3 linked regions of the Anolis sagrei genome follow. The protein of the gene in region 2 purifies or fractionates together with the protein of the main gene of each other region. This does not show direct contact. Links are inferred from orthologs where the notes say so. Each region holds a gene or a part of one and is shown on either strand. Other genes may lie near its edges.

Region 1 (7,868 bases), on a different chromosome or scaffold from region 2:
GGAACTCTTCATTAGGTTCTTGTGGGATTTTTCGGGCTATAGAGCCATGTTCTAGAGGCATTTCTCCTGACGTTTCGCCTGCATCTATGGCAAGCATCCTCAGAGGTAGTGAGGTCTGTTGGAACTAGGAAAAGGGGTTTATATATCTGTGGAATGGCTTGGGTGGGGCAAAGAGCGTTTCTCTGCTGGAGCTAGGTGTGAATGTTTCAACTGATCACCTTCATTAGCATTTGAAGGCCTGCCTGAGCCTGGGAAAATCTCTTGCTGGGAGGTGTTAATCTGTGCCTGGTTGTTTCCTCTCTGTTGTTTTGCTGTTGTAATTTTAGAGTTTTTTAATACTGGTAGCCAGATTTTGTTCATTTTCATGGTCTCTTCCTTTCTGTTGAAATTGTCCACATGCTTGTGGATTTCAATGGCTTCTCTGTGTAGTCTGACATGGTGGTTGTTGGTGTGGTCCAGCATTTCTGTGTTCCCAAATAATATGCTGTGTCCAGGCTGGTTCATCAGGTGCTCTGCTATGGCTGACTTCTCTGGTTGAAGTAGTCTGCAGTGCCTTTCATGTTCCTTGATTCGTGTTTGGGCGATGCTGCGTTTGGTGGTCCCTATGTAGACTTGTCCACAGCTGCATGGTATACGGTAGACTCCTGCAGAGGTGAGAGGATCCCTCTTGTCCTTTGCTGAACGTAGCATTTGTTGGATTTTCTTGGTGGGTTTGTAGATTGTTTGCATGTTGTGTTTCCTCATCAGCTTCCCTATGTGGTCAGTGGTTCCCTTGATGTATGGCAGGAACACTTTTAATCTGGGTGGATCTTCATCTTGACTCTCGTGGCTTGTTCTTGGTCTTGCAGCTCTTCTGATGGCTGAGGTGGAGTATCCATTGGCCTGGAGAGCCCAGTTGAGGTGGTTCAGTTCATCTTGGAGGAGGTGGGGTTCGCAGATTCTTTTTGCACGGTCTGCCAAGGCTTTAATGGTGCTTCTTTTTTGACTTGGGTGATGGTTGGAGTTTTTATGTAGATATCTATCTGTGTGTGTGGGTTTTCTGTAGACGGTGTGACCCAATTGTTGATCTGGTTTGCGGATGACTAGGACATCTAGAAAAGGCAGTCTTCCTTCATTTTCTTTTTCCATGGTGAACTGGATGTTTGGATGGATGCTGTTAAGATGGTCCAGGAACCTGGCTCCAAATGGTGAAAGTGTCATCCACATATCTGAACCATATCGTGGGCTTTTTGGTTGCTGTCTCCAGGGCTTGTTCTTCAAAGTGTTCCATGTAGAAGTTAGCTATGACCGGGCTGAGAGGGCTCCCCATAGCTCTTCATTTTTTGCATCTCATAGACTTCGCATGGGGATTTGGTTAACCAGTTAAAATTCATGAGTAAACCAGGTTTTTTTAAAAAAAATCTGAAACATTTGGGGGGGGGGGGTTGAACCCCTAAAACCACCCCCTCGCTACAGGCCTGCACATCACCAAACCAATATTACCAAACTTCCCCCCTCCCCCTTCCCCTCCCAAAAAAATATACACACATTCCAATATGTGTGTATGAATTTTCTCTACAGTCTACCTCCCCCCCCCCCAAATCTCCCCAGCGATGATTCTCTGCGGGTGCCTGGCTTGTTCTAGGTGCCTCCCAGCCGGGATCAATGCGCTCTACGTGGGGCTGCCCTTGAAGACGGCTCGGAAGCTCCAACTGGTCCAACGATCAGCAGCCAGGATGCTAACTGGGGCCCCTTACAGAGAGAGGTCAACCCTCTTGTTCAAGGAGCTCCACTGGCTGCCATTTAATTTCCAAGCCCTATTCAAGGTGCAGGTGCTTACCTACAAAGCCCTGAACGGTTTGGGACCAGCCTACCTGCGTGACCACATTTCCATCTACGAACCCACGCGTTCTCTTCGGTCATCTGGAGAGGCCCTGCTCGTAATCCCACCGGCGTCGCAAGCGCGCTTGGTGGGGACGCGGGACAGGGCCTTTTCTGTGGTGGCCCCCCGACTCTGGAACACCCTCCCCAAAGACCTTAGACAGGCCCCTACATTGGCTGTCTTCAGAAAGAACTTGAAGACCTGGCTTTTCCGATGCGCCTTCCCAGATTAGGAAATCTCCACTACCAAGTCCCATAAGCACCTTATCAGAACCAATGATTGCTGCACATCGCACTTGCCCTGGAAGCCCTATATACACCTCCTGTCACATCAGCACTTTTAATCTTGTACCCATTGCTTTGGCCTGGCCCAGTTTTATTGTGTTTAGTGTATTGTGCCTGTTGTTTATTTTGCTTTATTCTGTTTTTAATTGTTTGATTTGCTTAGATTGGACTGTTGTGTTGTGTGTTGAGGCCTCGGCCTGTGTAAGCCGCATCGAATCCTTCGGGAGATGCTTGTTGTTGTTCATTCGTTCAGTCATCTCCAACTCTTCGTGACCTCATGGACCAGCCCACGCCAGAGCTCCCTGTCGGCCGTCAGCACCCCCAGCTCTTTCAAGGTCAGTCCAGTCGCTTCAAGGATGCCATCCATCCATCTTGCCCTTGGTTGGCCCCTCTTCCTTTTGCCTTCCACTTTCCCCAGCATAATTGTCTTCTCTAGGCTTTGCTGTCTCCTCATGATGTGGCCAAAGTACTTCAACTTTGTCTCTAGTATCCTTCCCTCCAGTGAGCAGTCGGGCTTTATTTCCTGGAGGATGGACTGGTTGGATCTTCTCGCAGTCCAAGGCACTCTCAGAACTTTCCTCCAACACCACAGCTCAAAAGCATCGATCTTCCTTCGCTCAGCCTTCCCTAAGGTCCAGCTCTCACATCCGTAGGTTACTACAGGGAATACCATGGCTTTGACTAGGCGGATCTTTGTTGCCAGTCTGATGTCTCTACTCTTCACTATTTTATTGAGACTGGACATTGCTCTCCTCCCAAGAAGTAAGCGTCTTCTGATTTCCTGGCTACAGTCTGCATCTGCAGTGATCTTTGCGCCTAGAAATACAAAGTATGTTATGGAGAGAGATATTGACAAGCTGGAATGTGTCCAGAGGAGGGCGACTAAAATGATCAAGGGTCTGGAGAACAAGCCCTATGAGGAGCGGCTTAGGGAACTGGGCATGTTTAGCCTGAAGAAGAGAAGGCTGAGAGGAGACATGATAGCCATGTATAAATATGTGAGAGGAAGCCACAGGGAGGAGGGAGCAAGCTTGTTTTCTGCTTCCTTGGAGACTAGGACGCGGAGCAATGGCTTCAAACTACAAGAGAGGAGATTCCATCTGAACATGAGGAAGAACTTCCTGTGAGAGCCGTTCAGCAGTGGAACTCTCTGCCCAGGAGTGTGGTGGAGGCTCCTTCTTTGGAAGCTTTTAAACAGAGGCTGGATGGCCATCTGTCAGGGATGATTTGAATGCAATATTCCTGCTTCTTGGCAGGGGGTTGGACTGGATGGCCCATGAGGTCTCTTCCAACTCTTTGATTCTATGATTCTATGATTCTATGGCCTCCACATTTTCTCCCTCTATTTTCCAGTTGTCAATCATTCTTGTTGCCATAATCTTGGTTTTTTTTATGTTTAGCTGCAACCCAGCTTTTCTTTCACCTTGATTAGAAGGCTCCTCAGCTCCTCCTCGCTTTCGGCCATCAGAGTGGTGTCATCTGCATATCTGAGGTTGTTAATGTTTCTTCCAGCAATTTTCACCCCAGCCTTGCATTCATCAAGCCCCGCACATCGCATGATGTGTTCTGCATACAAGATAAAAAGGGGATTGGGTTAAACAATTAAAATTCATGAGTAAACCAGGTTTTTTTAAAAAAATCTGAAACATTTGGGGGGAGGGGGGTTGAACCCCTAAAGCCACCCCCTCGCTACAGGCCTGCACATCACCAAACCGATATTACCAAACTTCCCCCCTCCCCCTCCCAAAAGAATATACACACATTCCCAGGCCTGTAGCGAGGGGGTGGTTTTAGGGGTTCAATCCCCCCCCCCCGAAATGTTTCAGATTTTTTTAAAAAACCTGGTTTACTCATGAATTTTAACTGGTTAAAAAAATCCCCATGCTAGGTCTATGAGATGCAAAAAATTAAGAGTCCCTCCAGAACTGTAAGCACTATCTCAAGCAAATATTGACAATTTATTCACACTGTCATTACTTTCAGCAATAGCGGATGTAGTGAAGCAACCAAGTTGGGTGGGGTGTGTCTGTTGAATGCTCTCATTAAGGAGGCCAGACTTGGTGGAGGTGGTTGACAGGGGTGGAGCTGCAGACTATTGAAGGTTGCTTTTCCCCCTGCTGTGCTCTTTGCTTCAGCGTGAGCTAGGAGGTAGGTTTCAACCCCCCCCCCCCGAAAATTTCAACCCTCCCTGAAATTTTCAAACCCCCCCACTGAAATTTTAACCCCCCCCCCTGAAATTGTCAACCCTCCCCGAAATTTTTTTCTGGCTACGGCCCTGCACATTCCTATATGTGTGTATGAATTTTCTCTACAGTCTACCTCCCCCCCCCCCCCCAAATCTCCCCAGCGATGATTCTCTGCGGGTGCCTGGCTTGTTCTAGGTGCCTCCCAGCCGGGATCAGTGACCGGGAGGGAGAGCTTGACCTCGTGCAGCAGGCGCCCATGGGCGCGCGCCTCCCCTCCGCCGGCAGGAGCGGAGGGAAGGCCTGGCCCCCTCCTCTTCCTCCTGCGACGGATGCGGATGCTGCTGCTGCTGCGGCTTTAAGAGCTCCCACGCCTCCCTTTCGGTCCCTCCTGGAGGAGAAGGCAGGCGGACCGTCGGGGAAGAGCTCCAAAGACGCAGCCAGGCGGGGGCGGGGCCAGGAGGCCAGCTCCAAACTCCGTTGCCTGCAGCCAACTCAGCGAGAGAGATTGGGCGCGCGCGCGCGAGAGAGAGAGAGAGCGCGAGGCAAGGAATCCAGTCAGGGAGGCAAGCAGGGCGCGAGCTTCCTTGGCTGGGGAAGGGGCGGAGGCAAGCCCGCAGCGGCGACTGCAGAGAGGAGAGGAACCCCAGCCGCGGATGGAGCCGTAGCCAGAGAAGCCCGTATGTACAAACTTCGGCGTTGGCGTCCCTTCCCTTCACCGCTGCCTCTCCTCGCTTCCTTCCTTCCCTCCCTTCTCCTGCTCTTTTGGGCTCCTCTCTCTCTCTCTCTCTCTTTCCCCCTCCCCGCCTCCAGCATTCCTTCCTTCCTCAGCTGCTTTCTTGCAGGGTTTCCTCTCATTCCTCAAGTCCTCCCCTCTTTCCGACTTGTCTTCCGCTTTGCCTCCTTGACGGCTTGTTTTACCGTCCCCCCCCCCCCCCCCAATTTTCGGCCTCAGCATCATTCCTCCTCCCTCCCCCCTTCACTTGGTCCACCCATAGCAGGCAGCCTGCTTAGGTTTACTAGGAAGTTAATGCATCAACTCAGGATGTCTTCAAACGTCAGCCTGATTTCCCAAACTTGTTACTTTTTTTAAAGTCATAAATTATGAAACTGGCAGCACAATCCGTTGAAAAGAACCCCAAACAGCCCCTTTTGGTCAACACAAATATATTCTTAAGCCACCCCCTCCCCCACACACATTTCTTTAAAATAAGAACAATATCTATATAAATAAAAATGTAATTTGTGGGAGTAACATAACTCAAACACCACTGGACGAATTGACACCAAATTTGGACACAAAACACATATCAGGCCAACGAGTGACAATCACTCATAAAAACACAGCAGAAGGGACTTCAAAAGCCAAAAAACAAAATTTACATTACAGTGCATGCTCAAAACCACACACACACACATACTAGCTGTCCCCTGCCACACGTTGCTGTGGCCCAGTCTGTTGATCTGGAAAATAAAGTAACGAGAAAGTGTTGGTTTCTAATATATGTAATTCCTTTATACTTGTGGGTAAACAGTACTTCTTGTTGTTTCTTTGTCATTGTTGATGTGGAGAGTGCCTGGTTTGCCCATCCTGGAACATGCAAGATATCATTATCCTTCTTTAAGGGTCCCTTTCAAATCTATAATACTATCTCTCTCGCTGTGTGTGTGAATCATATCTATCTATCTATATCTATCTATGGTTGGGTGGCTTTTTGTCAGGAGGACTTTGATTACGTTTTCTTGCCCTGAAGAAGGGAGTTGGATTGGATGGCCTTAAGTATTTTCTGTTGGTCATGGGGGTTCTGTGTGGAAAGTTTGCCCCGATTCTGTCGTTCGTGGGGTTCAGGATGCTCTTTGATTGTAGGTGAACTGTGAATCCCAGTGACTACAACTCCCAAATATCAAGGTCTATTTCCCCCAAACTCCATCTGTGTTCATATTTGGGCGTATTGAGTGCTTGTGCCAAGTTTGGTCCAGATCCATCATTGTTTGAGTCCACAGTGCTCTCTGGATGTAGGTGGACTACAACTCCCAAACTCAAGGTCAATGCCCACCAAACAATTCTAGTATTTTCCTTTGGTCATGGGAGTTCTGTGTGCCAAGTTTGGTTCAATTCCATCGTTGGTGGAGTTCAGAATGCTCTTTGATTGTAGGTGAACTATAAATCCCAGCAACTACATCTCCCAAATGACAAAATCATAATTTTTTGAGTGATGGTCACTCCTTGTGTTGTAAGATGTTTTGTTGCCAAATTTGCTGTGATTTCGTTCATTGGTTCTTTTGTTTTTAAGGTACTCATTACGTACAGAGTATTTATATATAGAAAGAAAGAAAGAAAGATAGATTAGTGAAAGAAAACTTACTATAGGACGGGCCAAATCAGAAGGACATGGGAGGCAAAATGGAAGGGTCTCATTTCCAGAATAAAGGGGAAAGATAAGTATAAGGAGTTAAATAAGACTAACCTCGTGATTGAACAATTGTAATAAGAATAGCAAAAGTAGTAAACTGTTCCTGGGCGGGGGGAGGGGGGAGATGTGGATGGGTGGTGGTGGGATTTGGGAAAATACTGGTATTTTGATTGCTGATTTTGAAGATTGTATCTTTCTATGTCTGATACAATAAAAATGTAAAAAAAAAAATTAAGAACAATACTAGGTTGGCAAGCTTACCTATTGACTTCATTAGGACTTCCTTCTAATGAGCATGCACAAACACTGAGGATCCATCTGTTTTCTAATGTTTGAGTGGATTGAGGGGCTTTTCTGGGGGCCCTTCCACACAGCTGTATAAAAATCCACATTGAGCAGGATTCTATGGCAGTGTGGACTCAGATAATCCAGTTCAAAGCAGATATTGTGGGTTATCTGCCTTGATGTTCTGGGTTATATGTAAGCAGATGTACATTTCCTTCCTGTAATGCAAACCAATGCAGTGGCCTCACTGTACTGTTATTTTTTCTTAACGGTTCGGTCCCCACCTATCTTTGCAATCGCATCTGAATCTATGAACCGGCGCAAATTCTAAGATCTGAGGAGGAGGCCCTCCTCTCGCTCCCACCTCCGTCACAACCATGGTTGGTGGGGACGAGAGAGAAGGCCTTCTCAGTGGTGCCCCCCCCCCCCACCTGGCCTCTGGAACGCCTTTCCAAGGGAAATAAGACAGGCCCCATCCCTCCTCTCTTTTCATAAGAGTTTGAAGACTTGGTGGTTTCAGCAAATCTTCGAGAGTGACCAGTGCTAGCTCAGTCCAGACACTGTCCGGACACAACCTAGCCCCCTATATAGTACTCTGGTCATTCTAACAGGCTCCTGGAAATAGCTTTTGTTCCCACTTTTGTCGTTTTACCTATTACAGTACTGTACCCAAATGCTGGTCCCATCTTATTTCAATTTGTATCAGTCTTGACCCAGCCTTTTAATTGTTCTGACCCATTGCTTTTCCATGCCCTAACAAATAGACATGAAGAGCAGGCAGGATTTTTTCTATTAATATTTATGTGTTGTTGGGTAATTCCATGCTTATGTTGTGACTCTG
Region 2 (7,087 bases):
TGGACATAAACAAAAATCACAATTAATTAGGAAAACAAGCAGCTTATTTCAGTCATCTCCTCATATTTGGGTCACATCAAGAGGGAGTGGTTTAGTGTTACACATAAAAATCAAGCATTTTATTTATAATAATAATAATAATAATAATAATAATAATAATAATAATAATTTGTTTTCCGCTCTATCTCCCCAAGGGGACTCAGGGCAGATTATATCCTACCTTTTGTCCAAAAATGGGGTTCAAAAGCAGGACAAGAGTGCTTAACTCAATTTAAACCAGGCTCTAGAACTCTTTCACAAATGAGTACTATCCATTATTACATTATATTAATGCTATATACTTTTTCTTCCAGGATGCTCATGGCCTTTGTTATCCATCATCGAACAGACATGAGCAGAATTTTGCCTATTTGATCGTGAATCCTTTGAAACGGCACATTTATGTTTTGTATCATTCTTACGGCGGAGCTTTGTTCTGTAATTGACTGGGTTTGATTCCTCAAGTTTATTTGATGAATAGATGAATTCTCCTTAGATATAGATTTGTCAGGATTCTGTTCTTTTCAAAGAGATCTATGTTATCTACACACGTTTTCCCCTTCCCAGAAATCTAAGGTACTCAGTATGGTTTCAAACACATATTTTGTATTATTAATGTTACAGACTTAATACCCATATCAATACTTGTGCAATGTACTATTTGAAAAGTTTTGCTGTTGCTGAATTATATCCTGCCTACAAAGACTCTTATTTGAAACTATCATAATAACATTTACATTTGTGTTTTCTTAACCATAAATAAAAACTTTTTAAATGTTGTGTACATACATTTTGAGTATGAAATAGCAATTTTAAACTATGAAAACATATAACTATTGGTTTGGAATTTGATTGATGAGTCTGTTGTTGATGATTGATGGGTCAAGAAACAGTTCTCAGTTCAGATTGCTTATGTGGTCCTAAAGCAGCAATAATTTTATAATTAATGAGGGAATTTTTAAAAAAAGAGAAAGTGAACCCCAACATTTTGTAAAACATTTTGTTTGTTTTACACTGTAGAAGTGATGCAGTTTGGTACTACTTCAACTCCCATGGCTCCATGGTATGGAATGATGGGAGTTATCATTTTTACAAGGTCATGGGGAGGCATGGGCAAACTTGGGCCCTCCTTCCAGGTGTTTTGGACTTCAACTCCCACCATTCCTAACAGCCTCAGGTCCCTTCCCTTTCCCTATGTACAGAGTTGCCTTTTTTACACAGTTGCCTTTTTACACACAGTAGCCTTCACACTGGAGCTTCTTACACAAAGTCTTCAACCTGATTGTTTTTAAATGTTTTAATTGTTTTAATGTACTTTAAAATTATATTTTAATATTTATTTAACTGTACATTGTGTTTTAAGGCATCAAATTGTTGCCTTTTTGTAAAGCCGACTTGAGTCCCCTCCAGGGTGAGAAAGGCAGGATAGAAATGTTGTAAGTAAATAAATAAATAAACCTGGGGCTTCTCTCACCAGGCTGTCCTCACACCAGGCCTCTCACACACTGAGGCCTACTAACTCTGAGGCCTACCTGACACTTGCTGCCAGTTTGCTACCGAGCACAATCCAAAGTGCTGGCTTTAGACTATAAAACCCTAAATGGTTCTGGCCCAACTTACATGTCCGAATTTATCTCTCCCTATGAACCATCTAGGAGTTTAAGATCATCTGGGGAGGCCCTGCTCTTGATCCTGCCTTCTTTGCAGATGCAACTGGCGGGGCCGAGAGACAGGGCCTTCTCAGTGGTGGCCCCTCAACTGTGGAACTCCCTCTCTAGGGATATTAAATGAACCCCTTTCCTCCTGACTTTCCACAGACCAGTGAAAACATGGCTATTTGAACAAGCCTTTGGGAATCTAGTACAATAAATAAACACGGAAGTATGTGAAATCAAATACTGAAACAGCTTAGACAATGTTTTTGGACGACGAGGTTTTATATGTTTTTAAAGGTTTTAATGTATGCATTTTATAAATCAAAAAAAATATTGTAATTTTTACATTGTTTTAACGGCATCTAATAGCTGCCTATGTTGTAAAGCCATCTTGGGTCACCTTCAAGTTCAAGAAAGGCGGGATAGAAATATCGTAAATAAATAAAGGGCTTGAGGCTGCTTTTTTTCTCGTGTCAGGCGCGACTTGAGAAACTGCAAGTCGCTTCTGGCGTGAGAGAATGGCTGCTGGGAATGGTGGGAGTTAAAGTCCAAAACACCTGGAGGGAGGGCCCAAGTTTTCCCAGGCCTGGTCTTTAGCTTTCTGTGCGAGAAGCTGCTGGTGCCTCACCAGACTGCAAATCCTTGGATTCCATTGCATTGTGCCATGGCAGTTCAAAGTGGTGTCAGGTTGTGACAATTCTTCACCCTGAAAGCATGCCACCTTCATCTTAGCTGCTTACTTAGGTGATCTAATTCAAGGTGCAGGTGCTTACCTACAAAGCCCTAAACGGTTTGGGACCTGCCTACCTGCGTGACCGCATCTCCGTTTATGAACCCACGCGCTCCCTTCGTTCATCCGGAGGGGCCCTGCTCGCGATCCCACCTGCGTCGCAGGCACGTTTGGTGGGGACGAGGGACAGGGCCTTCTCTGTGGTTGCCCCCCAACTCTGGAACACCCTCCCCAAAGACATTAGACTAGCACCCACGTTGGCAGTCTTTAGGAAAAACTTGAAGACCTGGCTATTCAGATGTGCTTTTCCGGAATAGGATAACCCCCACTATGTCCCAGAAGCACTTTATTAGAGTTTAAGACTCTCTGCACATTGCACTTGCCCAGAATCCCAACATACTACCTCTCACAGCCAGCACTTTTTAACCTGTACCCATCACTGGCCCAGCCCTGGTTTTTATTGCGTAATAGTGTAATGTTTTCTTATTGCTTATGTTTTTAATTTGCTTTGCATCGTATTGTTATTGTTTGCTGTTGTTGTGTTGAGGCCTTGGCCTTTGTAAGCCGCAATGAGTCCTTCGGGAGATGCTAGCGGGGAACAAATAAAGTTTAATAATAATAATAATAATCCCTCGTTGTCGGAGTAAGGTTGGTTTACTGGCAGTTGGTACGTAGGTGACTGTGGAGCCCTATTATTGATCTGCATGTTCTCCCGCAGTGAGGGCATCGGTTTCCAGGTGGAAGGCGGTCCCGGTCGGGGTTGGCTTCATGCACCTTCCTCTTGGCATGTTTCTTTCTTTTGCTCTCCATTCCTGCTTCTTCAAATTCTACAACACTGGTGGTCACAGCTGACCTCCAGCTGGAGCGCTCAAGGCCCAGGGCTTTCCAGTTCTCAGTGTCTATGCCAGAGTTTGACATTGAGTTTATTAAGGTTTACTTTTGAGCAGACAATAGTTAAGATTGCAGGCTGTGATTTATTTTGGGGGGAATAAAGAGGTAGGGTAAGCAAGGGTTGATTCTCCACCAAGCTTGCTAGAGAAGCCTTGCTGCAAAGCAACCACAGAACACAAAGTCCTGGCAATGATTGCAGAGGTGTCCTTTCCCTCCCCTTCCCTTCCCTCCTCCTCTTCCATGGGGGCTTTGAAGCCTGGTGGGTTGGGGTCTTGTTTCCTTTCCCCCTCCCTTTCTCCTCTTTTTAATGGTGTGTGTGTGTGTGTGTGGGAGGCGAAATACTCCCACTTTCCCCTCCTTTTCGTCTCCGTGGGAGGGTTGGAAAACTTTTTTTTTTTTGGAGGGGGAGACAGGATGAGGAGGGTGGGTAGAAGTATAAAATACACGGTTCCTGGACACTAGTGGAGGCCAAGAAAACGACTCGGGCGGGTTTGCTTGAAAAACGACTAAAAATAAAAACACAACAATTGTCTCAGCTGGAAAAGAGGAAAAAAAGAGCCACGAAAGTAAACGTGAGGGAATCCCAACACATTGAAGTCTTTAAATCAGTGCAAAATTGCTTTTAAAAAAATCAGAGTGGGCGGGCGCGTGAAAGGAGAATTGAAACAGAGCCTCCTTTAACTCTGGCTGGGCTGCATTAAGCCCCGTCGAAATTCGGCGCGGGCGGGCCCTCGCGGGGCGGAGCTGGCTCGGGCGGGCGACTTTGGGAACTTTTGTTTGGCAGCGTTTGAGCTCCTGATCAACGACAAACAGGGACGTCGAGGCATTATAGATAGATCTATACATCTATTTTCTTTTTTTTCCTCAAAGCTGGGACGGATTAGAGGAGAAAATTGTCGGGAGAGTTGAAAAAATTTTGCGTGCGAAGGAAGGAAAAAAAAGAATCAAGAACTGATTCCTACAGAATTGACTCGGGCGGGCGCCTTTGCGAACTTTTCTTTAGGAGTCAGTCAAAGAGATAATTGAGAAGTAACCAACTTATATCGGAGTTGGGACGGATTAGTGAAGGAGGAAAGGAAGATTGCAGTGATTGCGATTGATTGACAGGCGGCTTGGAGGAAAAATTGCTCTGAAAGGATTTCCGCGCGGCCGGGCGCGAGAAGAGGGAGAAAAAAAATCTTCAGTTTCTGCGGCCGGGCTACATTGAGTCGCATTAGAGGCGGAGTTCGGCGCGGGCGGGCTAGTTTGCGAAGTTTTGTTTTGAGCTCGGCTGAAGGAGAAAAAAGAAGCAAGCGAAGGTTTCGGGGGATGAAAGACGGCCAGCCGGGAGCGGAGGCTTGAGAGAAGCAGCCGAGGAGGGGGAGAGGAGGAGGAGGAGCCCCGTCGCCCGCCATGGAGGCCTCCGCAGCGGGGCAGACCCCTCCGCAAGCCTCGGCCCCGGAGAGCGGCGGCTCCGGGCAGCAGCAACAGCCGCCTCCGCCCCCGCCGCCGCCTCCGGCCGGACACCAGATCGTCCACGTCCGGGGAGACTCGGAGACCGACCTGGAGGCCCTCTTCAACGCCGTCATGAACCCCAAGGGCGCCAACGTGCCCCACACGCTGCCCATGAGGCTCCGGAAGCTGCCGGACTCCTTCTTCAAGCCGCCAGAGCCCAAGGCCCACTCCAGACAGGTGAGCGGGAGGAAGGGGCGCCCTGGACACTGGGCATTGCAAGTACCTGCTGAGCTGGAGTTTGGCAATCCCTACTCTAACCTCCTGGGGTGCATCTACATGTAGAACAGGCATGGGCCAACTTGGGCCCTCCCTCCAGGTGCTTTGGGCTTCAACTCCTACTATTCCTAACAGCCTCAGGCCCCTTCCTTTTCTGGGAAGAGTAAAAATGCCTCTGTGTGAGAGAAGTTTCACTATGAGGAAGGCCTGGTGTGAGAGAAGCCCTGTGTGAGAAAGCTCCACTGTGAAGGCTGTTGTGTGTAACGCTACAAGGTCTTTAGCAGGTATGGGCCAACTTGGGCCCTCCCTCCAGGTGTTTTGGGCTTCAACTCCTACTATTCCTAACAGCCTCAAAGTTTCACTATGAGGATGGCCTGGTGTGAGAGAAGCCCTGTGTGAGAAACCTCCAGTGTGAAGGCTGCTGTGTGTAAAGCTACAAGGTCCTTAGCAGGTATAGGCAAACTTGGGCCAGGTGTTTTGAGCTTCGACTCCTACAGCCTCAGGCGCCCTCCTTTTCTGGGAAGAGTAAAAATGCCTCAGTGTGAGAGAAGTTTCACTGTGAGGATGGTCTGGTGTGAGAGAAGCCTTGTGTGAGAAAGCCCCACTGTGAAGGCTGTTATGTGTAACACTAGAAGGTCTTTAGCAGGTATGGGCAAACTTGGGCCCTCCTGAGGAAGGCCTGGTATGAGAAAGCCTATTAAAAGAGAAGCCTTGTGGGAGAAAGCTCCAGTGTAAGGGCTGTTTTGTGTAAAACTGCAAAGTCTTTAGCAGATATGGACAAACTTGGGCCCTCCCTCCAGGTGTTTTGGGCTTCAACTCCTACTATTCCTAACAGCCTCAGGTGCCCTCCTTTTCTGGGAAGAGTAAAAATGCCTCAGTGTGAGAGAAGTTTTACTATGAGGAAGGCCTAGTGTGAGAGAAGTCTTGTGTGAGAAACCTCCAGTGTGAAGGCTGCTGTGTGTAAAGCTACAAGGTTTTTAGCAGGTATGGACAAATTGGGCCCTCCCTCCAGGTGTTTTGGACTTCCAACTCTCACCATTCCTAACAGCCTCAGGCCCCTTCCTTTTCTGAAAAGAGTAAAAATGCCTCTGTGTGAGAGAAGTTTCACTATGAGGTAGGCCTGGTGTGAGAGAAGCCCTGTGTGAGAAAGCCCCACTGTGAAGGCTGTTGTGTGTAAAGCTACAAGGTCTTTAGCAGGTATGGGCAAACTTGGGCCCTTCCAAGGAAGGCCTGGTATGAGAAGGCCTGGTATGAGAGAAGCCTTGTGGGAGAAAGTTCCAGTATGAGGGCTCTTTTGTGTAAAGCTGCAAGGTCTTTAGCAGATATGGACAAACTTGGGCCTTTCCTCCAGGTGTTTTGGACTTCCAACTCTCACCATTCCTAACAGCCTCAGGCCTCTTCCATTTCTGCAAAGAGAAAAATGCCTCAGTGTGAGAGAAGTTTCACTATGAGGAAGGCCTGGTATGAGAGAAGCTTGTGTGAATGCTGCTGTGTGTAAAGCTACAAGGTCTTTAGCAGGTATGGGCAAACTTGGGCCCTTCCTCCAGGTGTTTTGGACTTCCAACTCTCACCATTCCTAACAGCCTCAGGCCTCTTCCTTTTCTGCAAAGAGAAAAAATGCCTCAGTGTGAGAGAAGTTTCACTATGAGGAAGGCCTGGTGTGGGAGAAGCCTTGTGTGAGAAACCTCCAGTGTGAAGGCTGCTGTGTGTAAAGATACAAGGTTTTTAGCCGGTATGGGCCAACTTGGGCCCTCCCTCCAGGTGTTTTGGGCTTCAACTCCTACTATTCCTAACAGCCTCAGGCGCCCTCCTTTTCTGGGAAGAGTAAAAATGCCTCTGTGTGAGAGAGGTTTCACTATGAGGAAGGCCTGGTATGAGAAGCCCTGTGTGAGAAAGTCCCACTGCGAAGGCTGTTGTGTGTAACACTACAAGGTCTTTATTAGGTATGGGCAAACTTGGGCCTTCCAAGGGAGGCCTAGCATAAGAGAAGCCTTGTGGGAGAAAGCTCCAGTGTGAGGGCTGTTTTGTGTAAAGGCTGTTGTGTGTAATGCTACAAGGTCTT
Region 3 (7,642 bases), about 3.1 Mb from region 2:
GCGGCCTCACCATTACTACACCATTGCCATGCAGCAATGAGAGTGACTGGTCTCACAAAGCCCTCTTATAGTGCTGAGGCAATGGAGATGTCAGGAGGGGGGAGGCTGACTACCCACTAAAGATTGCTACTACTACATCATCTCTAGATTATTAAATATAGTTTTCTATGGACGAGCAGATGGCAACTACTGGATGGCATATGTTCTGTATCAGAAACTGGAGCTGATGTGGACTAGCCAATGCAATTTTCTGAATCAGCACCCCAAATAACCAAACTGAATCTAAAGTTGACCAAAAACTGATTCATTACCCTTTTGGTACTAATGTTGAAAGTGGTCCCTGGTCAAAAAAAAGGTTGGGAACCACTGTTATAGATGAAACTTTGCAAATGCTGTTGACTAGACCAGTGGTTCTCAATGTGTGGGTCCCCAGGTGTTTTAGCCTTCAACTCCCAGAAATCCCAGCCAGTTTACCAGCTGTTAGGATTTCTGGGAGTTGAAGGCCAAAACATCTGGGGACTCACACGTTGAGAACCACTGGACTACACAGTACATAATAAGGGGTGCATCTACAGTGTTGAATCAATGCAATTTGATACCAATTTAAGCTGCCATGGCTCAATGCTATAGAATTGTGGGAGCTGTAGTTTTACAAAGTGAACACATATCCCCATATCATGTCCGTCCCAACTACAGTACTGTCCTCATGATGCACTTTCTCCCGTCCTTAATAAAGGCTCAATCCCATTGTTCGCCCCTTCTAAGCTCACCTCTCAGACACATTCTTCTCCATTTACTTATCTCACCCAGGATTTTATCAATTTTATCCTTTGCATTTGGCCCGCCCACTGTGTTTTATTTCTCTATCAAGTTATTTTACTTTTGTTTATTTTATATTTTGTTATACTTTGTTATTTCATTTTTTTTTATTTTGAAGTATTATTTGCTTGTGTGGACTATTTTGCTGTACTGTAATTTTGGGTTTGGCCTCATGTTAGCTGCCCTGAGTCCCCTGTGAGGAGATGGTGGCGGGGTATAAATAAAGATGATGATGATGATGATGATGATGATGATGATTATTATTATTATTAGAAACACAACAAGATGAGTCCACAGCAAACAAGATTACTCTGCTGCTGTTGTATTGGATCACACGTCAGACACTTCCCAAGTGTCTAGGACTGTGTGATGTATTGGCAAATAATGTGTGCAGATCCCAGTAAGGTGGCCTTCTGCAGCTGGCAGATGGTAATTTTGTCAGCGCCGGTTGTGTTCAAATGCAGGCCAAGGTCTTTAGGCACTGCACCCAGTGTGCCAAACACCACTGGGACCACCTTGACTGGCTTGTGCCAGAGTCTTTGCAGTTCGATCTTTAAATCCTCATAATGTGTCATTTTTTCCAGTTGTTTCTCTTCAATCCTGCTGTCGCCTGGGATTGCAACATCGACAATCCATACTTTGTTTTTTAACACGATTGTGAGGTCAGGAGTATTGTGCTCCCAAACTCTGTCTGAATCCAGAAGTCCCAGAGTAGTTTGATGTGTTCATTTTCTGTAATCTTTTAAGGCTTGCGATCCTACCAGTTCTTTGTCTCAGGCAGATGGTATTTGTGGCACAAGTTCTAATGAATCATCTGGGCAACGGTGTTATGCCTCTGCTTGTAGTCTGTCTGCACGATCTTCTTGCAGCAGCTGAGGATGTGATCTATTGTTTCATCTGCTTCCTACATCTACATTTGGGATCTGTCATCGACTTTTTAATTCTGGCTTTGATGGCGTTTGTTTGTTTGTTGTTTTTGTTATTGTTGTTATTATTATTATTATTATTATTATTATTATTATTATTATGTTCACCTAAGAGTAAGCTGTGATTTGGGTCAAGAGAAGTTCATGGTAATATGCATTCTAGAACAAAACCACAGCTTGACACTCCAGTAACTGCCATGGCTCAATGATATGGGCTTATTGGACAGGCAGAGAAGCCTTGCAAAACGATCCCATGATTTCATAGCAGTGAGCCATGGCAGTTCAAAGTAGTGTCAAACTGCATTAAGTCTACAATGTAGACGCACCCTGAGAGAATGTGACTTGCCCAAGTGGGTTTCCATAGCAAAACAGAGATTCAAACCTGGACTCTAGCATTGTAACTCAGTGATCAAAATACTACACTATGATGGCTTTTCTACTAGGCAATTAAATAAGTAATTTTGTTCTACTGGAGAATGCCATTTGTTGTTGTTTGTTTCGTTCAGATAGCAAGAAACCTTGAGTGGTTCTTGTGTGGGCAAAGCACATTGTTTGTTACAAACAATTAAATGAGTCAGTCTAGTACATACACACTAAATCCAAATCTAATTGCTGTGGATGACACTGATATAATAATTGTGAGGCCCAGCATGAGACATTTCCAACAAAGCTTTGCTGTTTTCCCTTCTCCCTAAAAGAACCGCTTTCTCCATTCATTAACCCCCATCCACCTTCCATTTTTCTTTCTCAGCTGTCATTCTACATCCCACAATAACTAAACACCATCATTGGACTCTGTGCTATGGATGAGTCAGAGATTACACTCGCTGGATTTTATTATATCGATTTATTTCATATTCCTATTCCCTCTTGTTCTCAGCCACTATCCTTTTGGAAGCCACCATCTGTGTTTGCTGTAATAAGGACTGATTGAAAGCTGTGTCAAGGCAACCTTCTTCTGTTGCTATAATATTTTATCATTTATACAATAGAATCCCCATATCCATGGTTTCATTTATCCACATCTGACCAAAAATGTCCTTTCTGGGCATGTTTGAGGTCTTCCAGCCTGACTCTTCCTGGGCCAAATGTCCTTCATTTCACAATCACCCATGGTTTTGTGCATCCATATGAAATCTAAGAACATATCCACTGTGGATATGGGGATCATACTGTATGTATCTCCAAAATGTCTTTGGGTGCATCTGCACCAGTGGTTCCCAACCTTTTTTTGACCAGGGACCACTCTGACCAGGGACCACATGACCAGGGACCACTTTGAACAGAAACCACTTTGAACAGAAACCACTTGACCAGGGGCCACTTTGACCAGAGACCACTTTAACAGGGACCACTTTAACATGGACCACCTTGACCAGGGACCACCTTGACTAGGGACTTCTTTGACCAGAGACCACTTTGACCAGGGACCACTTTGGCCAGAGACCACTTTGGCCAGGGACGACTTTGACCAGGGACCTCTTTGGCCAGGGACCTCTTTGGCCAGGGACCACTTTGGCCAGGGACGACTTTGACCAGAGACCTCTTTGGCCAGAGACCACTTTGGCCAGGGACTTCTTTGACCAGGGACCACTTTGACCAGGGACCACCTTGACTAGGGACCACTTTGACTAGGGACTTCTTTGACCAGAGACCACTTTGGCCAGGGACTTCTTTGACCAGGGACCACTTTGACCAGGGACCACCTTGACTAGGGACCACTTTGACTAGGGACTTCTTTGACCAGAGACCACTTTGACCAGGGACCACTTTGACCAGAGACCACTTTGGCCAGGGACCACTTTGACTAGGGACCACTCTGACCAGGGACCACCTTGACCAGGGACCACCTTGATTGGGACCACTTTGGCCAGGGACCACCTTGACCAGGGACCACCTTGACCAGGGACCACCTTGACCAGGAACCACTTTGACCAGAGACCACTTTGATCAGGGACTACTTTGACCAGAGACCACCTTAACAGGGACCACTTGACCAGGGACCATCTTGACCAGGGACTACTCTTCAACATTAGTACCAATCAGTTTTTGGTCAGCTTTAGATTTGGTTTGGTCATTTGGGGTGCTGATTCAGAACATTGCATTGGATAGACCACATCTGTGCTAGCTTCTTCGATATGGAAGTGACTTAAGACCAAGGTGAGAAATTTCACCAAGACATAAAAACAATGGAAGACAGATACCAAGGAAGACCAAAAACACCAGTCCCTCCAAGTGTTTTGGACTTCAACTCCTACAATTCCTAACCACTTAAGCGGCTGAGGAGGAAAAGGAAGGGGCCTGAGGCTTGAGGAATTGTGAGAGTTGAAGTCCAAATCACCTGTGCCTGTGATAGGGGGAAACAGTTGCCAGTCTTGGAATCAGCAAGTCATATATTCCCAGAAATATGACTAATCTTTGAGGCCCCAAAATGCATGTTGGCTGGTGTAAGAAGTTGACTATTTCTGTATTGTCGAAGGCTTTCATGGATGGAATCACTAGGTTCTTGTGGGTTTTTTCGGGCTATAGGGCCATGTTCAGACCTCACTACCTCTGAGGATGCTTGCCATAGGTGCAGGCGAAACATCAGGAGAAATGCCTCTAGAACATGGCCCTATAGCCCGAAAAAACCCACAAGAACCTATTGACTCTGTTTTCCAAATCCAAGCTTCTGAAATCATTCCAGGGTTTCCTGGCGTAGATGCATCCTTGGTGAGGCACTGGATGCCTCTCAGGCTGGGGATGTGGGATGCCCCTTCCAAACCACAAGCCCTGGGATGCCATGGGATGGATGGGCAGCCATTAAAGGGGAATCCCGGCGCTGTCAGTGGAGAGCGTGGAGGGGCGCCTTGGAGAAGCCCTGGGCGGTGGCGAGGCGCGCTAGGACCTGGCAGGCGCCGGCCTCGGAGGGCGCGGCGGGCTTTTCCCCGGGTAGGATTACTTTGGGAAGCCGAGTCCCTGCTGCCTGGGCGCCGTAGCCTTCCAGGGACCGGACGGGGTTGGGGAAAGGAAGGAGGAGAAAGGAAGAGAAGGAGGAAAAGGAGGAGGAGGAGGAGGCAGCTCTGGAGACGTCGAACCCATGGGCCAAGCTTAAGACGCCGCGAAGTTGCTATGATTTGGGCAGGAGGTAAAAGAAAGGGGGGAATCATACTCCCTGGCATTCTGTTCATTCCGGGAGGAGGAAGGGGGTTCCCTTTGCCCCTCTTGCATTCCTCTTTTCCGCTTTTAGCCAAGGCGGGATGCCCCAAAGTGCGGGTCGAGTCGCGCAAAAGGCTGTCAAAGCGCCAAGCGTTGCGCGCTGGAAAAGGCTTTGCGCCATTCCTCGCCTCTGGTTTCCTCTCCTTTCCAAGCCTCCCCTTTGGGTTGGCGGGGCTGGAAAGAGGGGGAAATCCAGGGGAGGGTCGTGCAGAGGGGTGGGCAGCGGATGGAGGGAGGGTGGAAAAGGGGAACCCCATCCCCAGGTCTTGGGAGAGAAGCGCCCTGGCTGCCAAGCGGCTCCTTCTCTCTGCAGGCGGTGAAGGCGATGCTGGAGCTTGCCTGGCACTGTTAGGGCTTCTCATCCCCCTTTGCAAGCCCCTTCCTCCAACTTAGGTATTCCTCGCCTTCTGAAATGTCAACAAACTTGAGATGTGCCCTGGAAGAAGCTTCAGTTCTTGTTCTGGGTTGCTGTGAGTTGTTGTTCCTTGGGGAGGAGAGTTTGCCAAAGGTCCTCAGTGGGATTACTTTTCCAAAGTGCATCTATGTCAGGAATGGGAAAGCCTTTTGTTTTGGACTTCAACTCCCACCGTTTCTAACACTCTCCGGTCCCTTCCTTTCCTCCCTCACCCGCTTAAGTTGCTGTAGATAGAGAATAAATGGCTTGTGGAAGGGCTGTTGTAGGTTTTTCGGGCTCTACAGCCATGGTCTAGAAGCATTATCTCCTGACATTTTGCCTGCATCCATGGCAAGCATCCTCAGAGGTGGTGAGGTCTGTTGGAAACTAGGAAAAATATATATTCTATATCTGTGGAAAGTCCAGAGTGGGAGAAAGAACTCTTGTCTGTTGGAGATAGGTGTGAATGTTTTAACGTTGATTAGCATTTGATGGCCTGGCAGTTTTTAGGAGTGACCTTTTACTGCCTGGGAGAATCCTTTGTTGGGAGGTAATTAGGTGTTTCTGGTTGTTTCTTGTCTGAAGTTCCCCTGTGTTCTTTATTTACTGTTATAATTTTAGAGTTTTTTTAATACTGGTAGCCAGATTTTGTTCATTTTCATGGTTTCTTCCTTTCTTGTGGATTTTAATGGCTTGTGGAAGGCTTTCATGGCCACAATCATTAGGTTGCTGTGAGTTTTATAGGCTATATGGCCGTGTTCCAGAATCATTCTCTCCTGATGTTTTGCCTGCATCTATGACAGGCATCCTCAGAGGTTGTGAGGTCTGTTGGAAACTAGGAAAATGGGGTTTATATATCTGTGGAATAATGTCCAGGGTGGGAGAAAGAACTCTTGTCTACCTGAGGCAAGTGTGAATGTTTACAGAAAACATACACCTTATAGATATCTACATAAAGACTCCAACCATCATCCAAGTCCAAAAAAGAAGCACAATTAAAGCACTGGCAAAATGAATCTGCAAACCCCACCTCCTCCCAAGGTGAACCAAGCCACCTAAACTGGGCTCTACAGGCCAATGGAGACTCCACTACAGACATCAGAAGAGCTGCAAGGCCATGAACAAGCCACCAGAATAAAGATGAAGATCTACCCAGAGGAAAAGTGTTCTTACCATACATCAAGGGAACCACTGACCACATAGGAAAGCTGATGAAGAAACACAATCTGCAAATGATCTACAGACCCACTAAGAAAATCCAACAAATGCTACGTTCAGCAAAGAACAAGAGGGATCCTCTCACTTCTGCAGGAGTCTACTGTATACCATGCAACTGTGGGCAAGTCTACATAGGGACCACCACACAGCAGCATTGTCCAAACACAAATTAAAGAAAAGGAAAGGCAGACTAATCCAACTAGAGAAACCAGCCATAGCAAAGCACTTGATGAACTAACCTGAACACAGCATATTATTTGAGAACACAGAAATGCTGGACCACTCTCACAACCACCATGTCAGACTACACAGAGAAGCCACTGAAATCCACAAGTATGTGGACAATTTGAACAGAAAGGAGGAAACTATGAAAATGAACAAAATCTGGCTACCAGTATTAAAAAACATTATAACAGTAAATAAAGAACAACACTAAAAAAAAACAGGGAAATTCCACACAGGAAATAATTGGGGTTAGCTAATCACTTCCCAGCAAAGGATTCCCCCAGGAAGTAAGAAGCCAGACCTTGAAACTGCTAGGCTATTAAATGCTAATCAAGGCAGCCAACTGCAACATTCACACCTGCCTTAAACAGACAAGAGTTCTTTCTCCCACCCTGGATATTCCACAGAAATATAACCCAAATTTTCCTGGTTTTCAACAGACCTCACAACCTCTGAGCATGCCTGCCATAGAGGCAAGCAAAATGTCAGGAGAGAATGCTTCTGGAACATGGCCATACAGCCTGGAAAATGCACAGCAACCCAGAATAAATGCCCTTTGACACCACTTTAACATCCCAGCCTCAGTGCTATGGAATCATGGAACTGCTGTAAGAGGGAGAACTGACTATAAATGAAGAAACCCATATTTTGTTCGATTCTAAAATGCAATCCATTGTAAAACTCACACACATTTTAGTACCACCAACAGAAATCTGTACATACTTTCACGATCCCATTGCACTGAGCCATGACAGTCAAAGTGGTGTCAAACTGCACTCCTCCTAAGGTGCAGATGAACCTTTAGAACACCCTCTGGAATTGCAATAAGACCACAGACCATTTGAAGACATACTCTGTAGTC

The links. The genes of interacting proteins can lie anywhere in the genome.
Region 1: the proteins of YAP1 (region 2) and RASSF8 purify together in Homo sapiens (affinity purification with mass spectrometry, with the first as the bait; 3 studies listed by BioGRID). This does not show direct contact. The link is inferred for Anolis sagrei from reciprocal best matches to the Homo sapiens genes YAP1 and RASSF8.
Region 3: the proteins of YAP1 (region 2) and AMOTL1 purify together in Homo sapiens (affinity purification with mass spectrometry; 8 studies listed by BioGRID and IntAct, with this or other methods). This does not show direct contact. The link is inferred for Anolis sagrei from reciprocal best matches to the Homo sapiens genes YAP1 and AMOTL1.

The regions. Positions count from the first base shown.
Region 1 is NC_090025.1:91,141,662-91,149,529, forward strand, and holds the start of RASSF8 (ras association domain-containing protein 8), read left to right. Parts: upstream 1-4,698; 5' UTR 4,699-5,008; intron 5,009-7,868.
Region 2 is NC_090023.1:23,008,494-23,015,580, forward strand, and holds the start of YAP1 (transcriptional coactivator YAP1), read left to right. Parts: upstream 1-4,026; 5' UTR 4,027-4,707; coding exon 4,708-4,986; intron 4,987-7,087. Other genes in the region: CFAP300 (cilia- and flagella-associated protein 300), read left to right, coding at 354-485. UniProt on the Homo sapiens protein: Transcriptional regulator with dual roles as a coactivator and corepressor. Critical downstream regulatory target in the Hippo signaling pathway, crucial for organ size control and tumor suppression by restricting proliferation and promoting apoptosis.
Region 3 is NC_090023.1:19,891,041-19,898,682, forward strand, and holds the start of AMOTL1 (angiomotin-like protein 1), read left to right. Parts: upstream 1-4,472; 5' UTR 4,473-4,487; coding exon 4,488-4,872; intron 4,873-7,642. UniProt on the Homo sapiens protein: Inhibits the Wnt/beta-catenin signaling pathway, probably by recruiting CTNNB1 to recycling endosomes and hence preventing its translocation to the nucleus.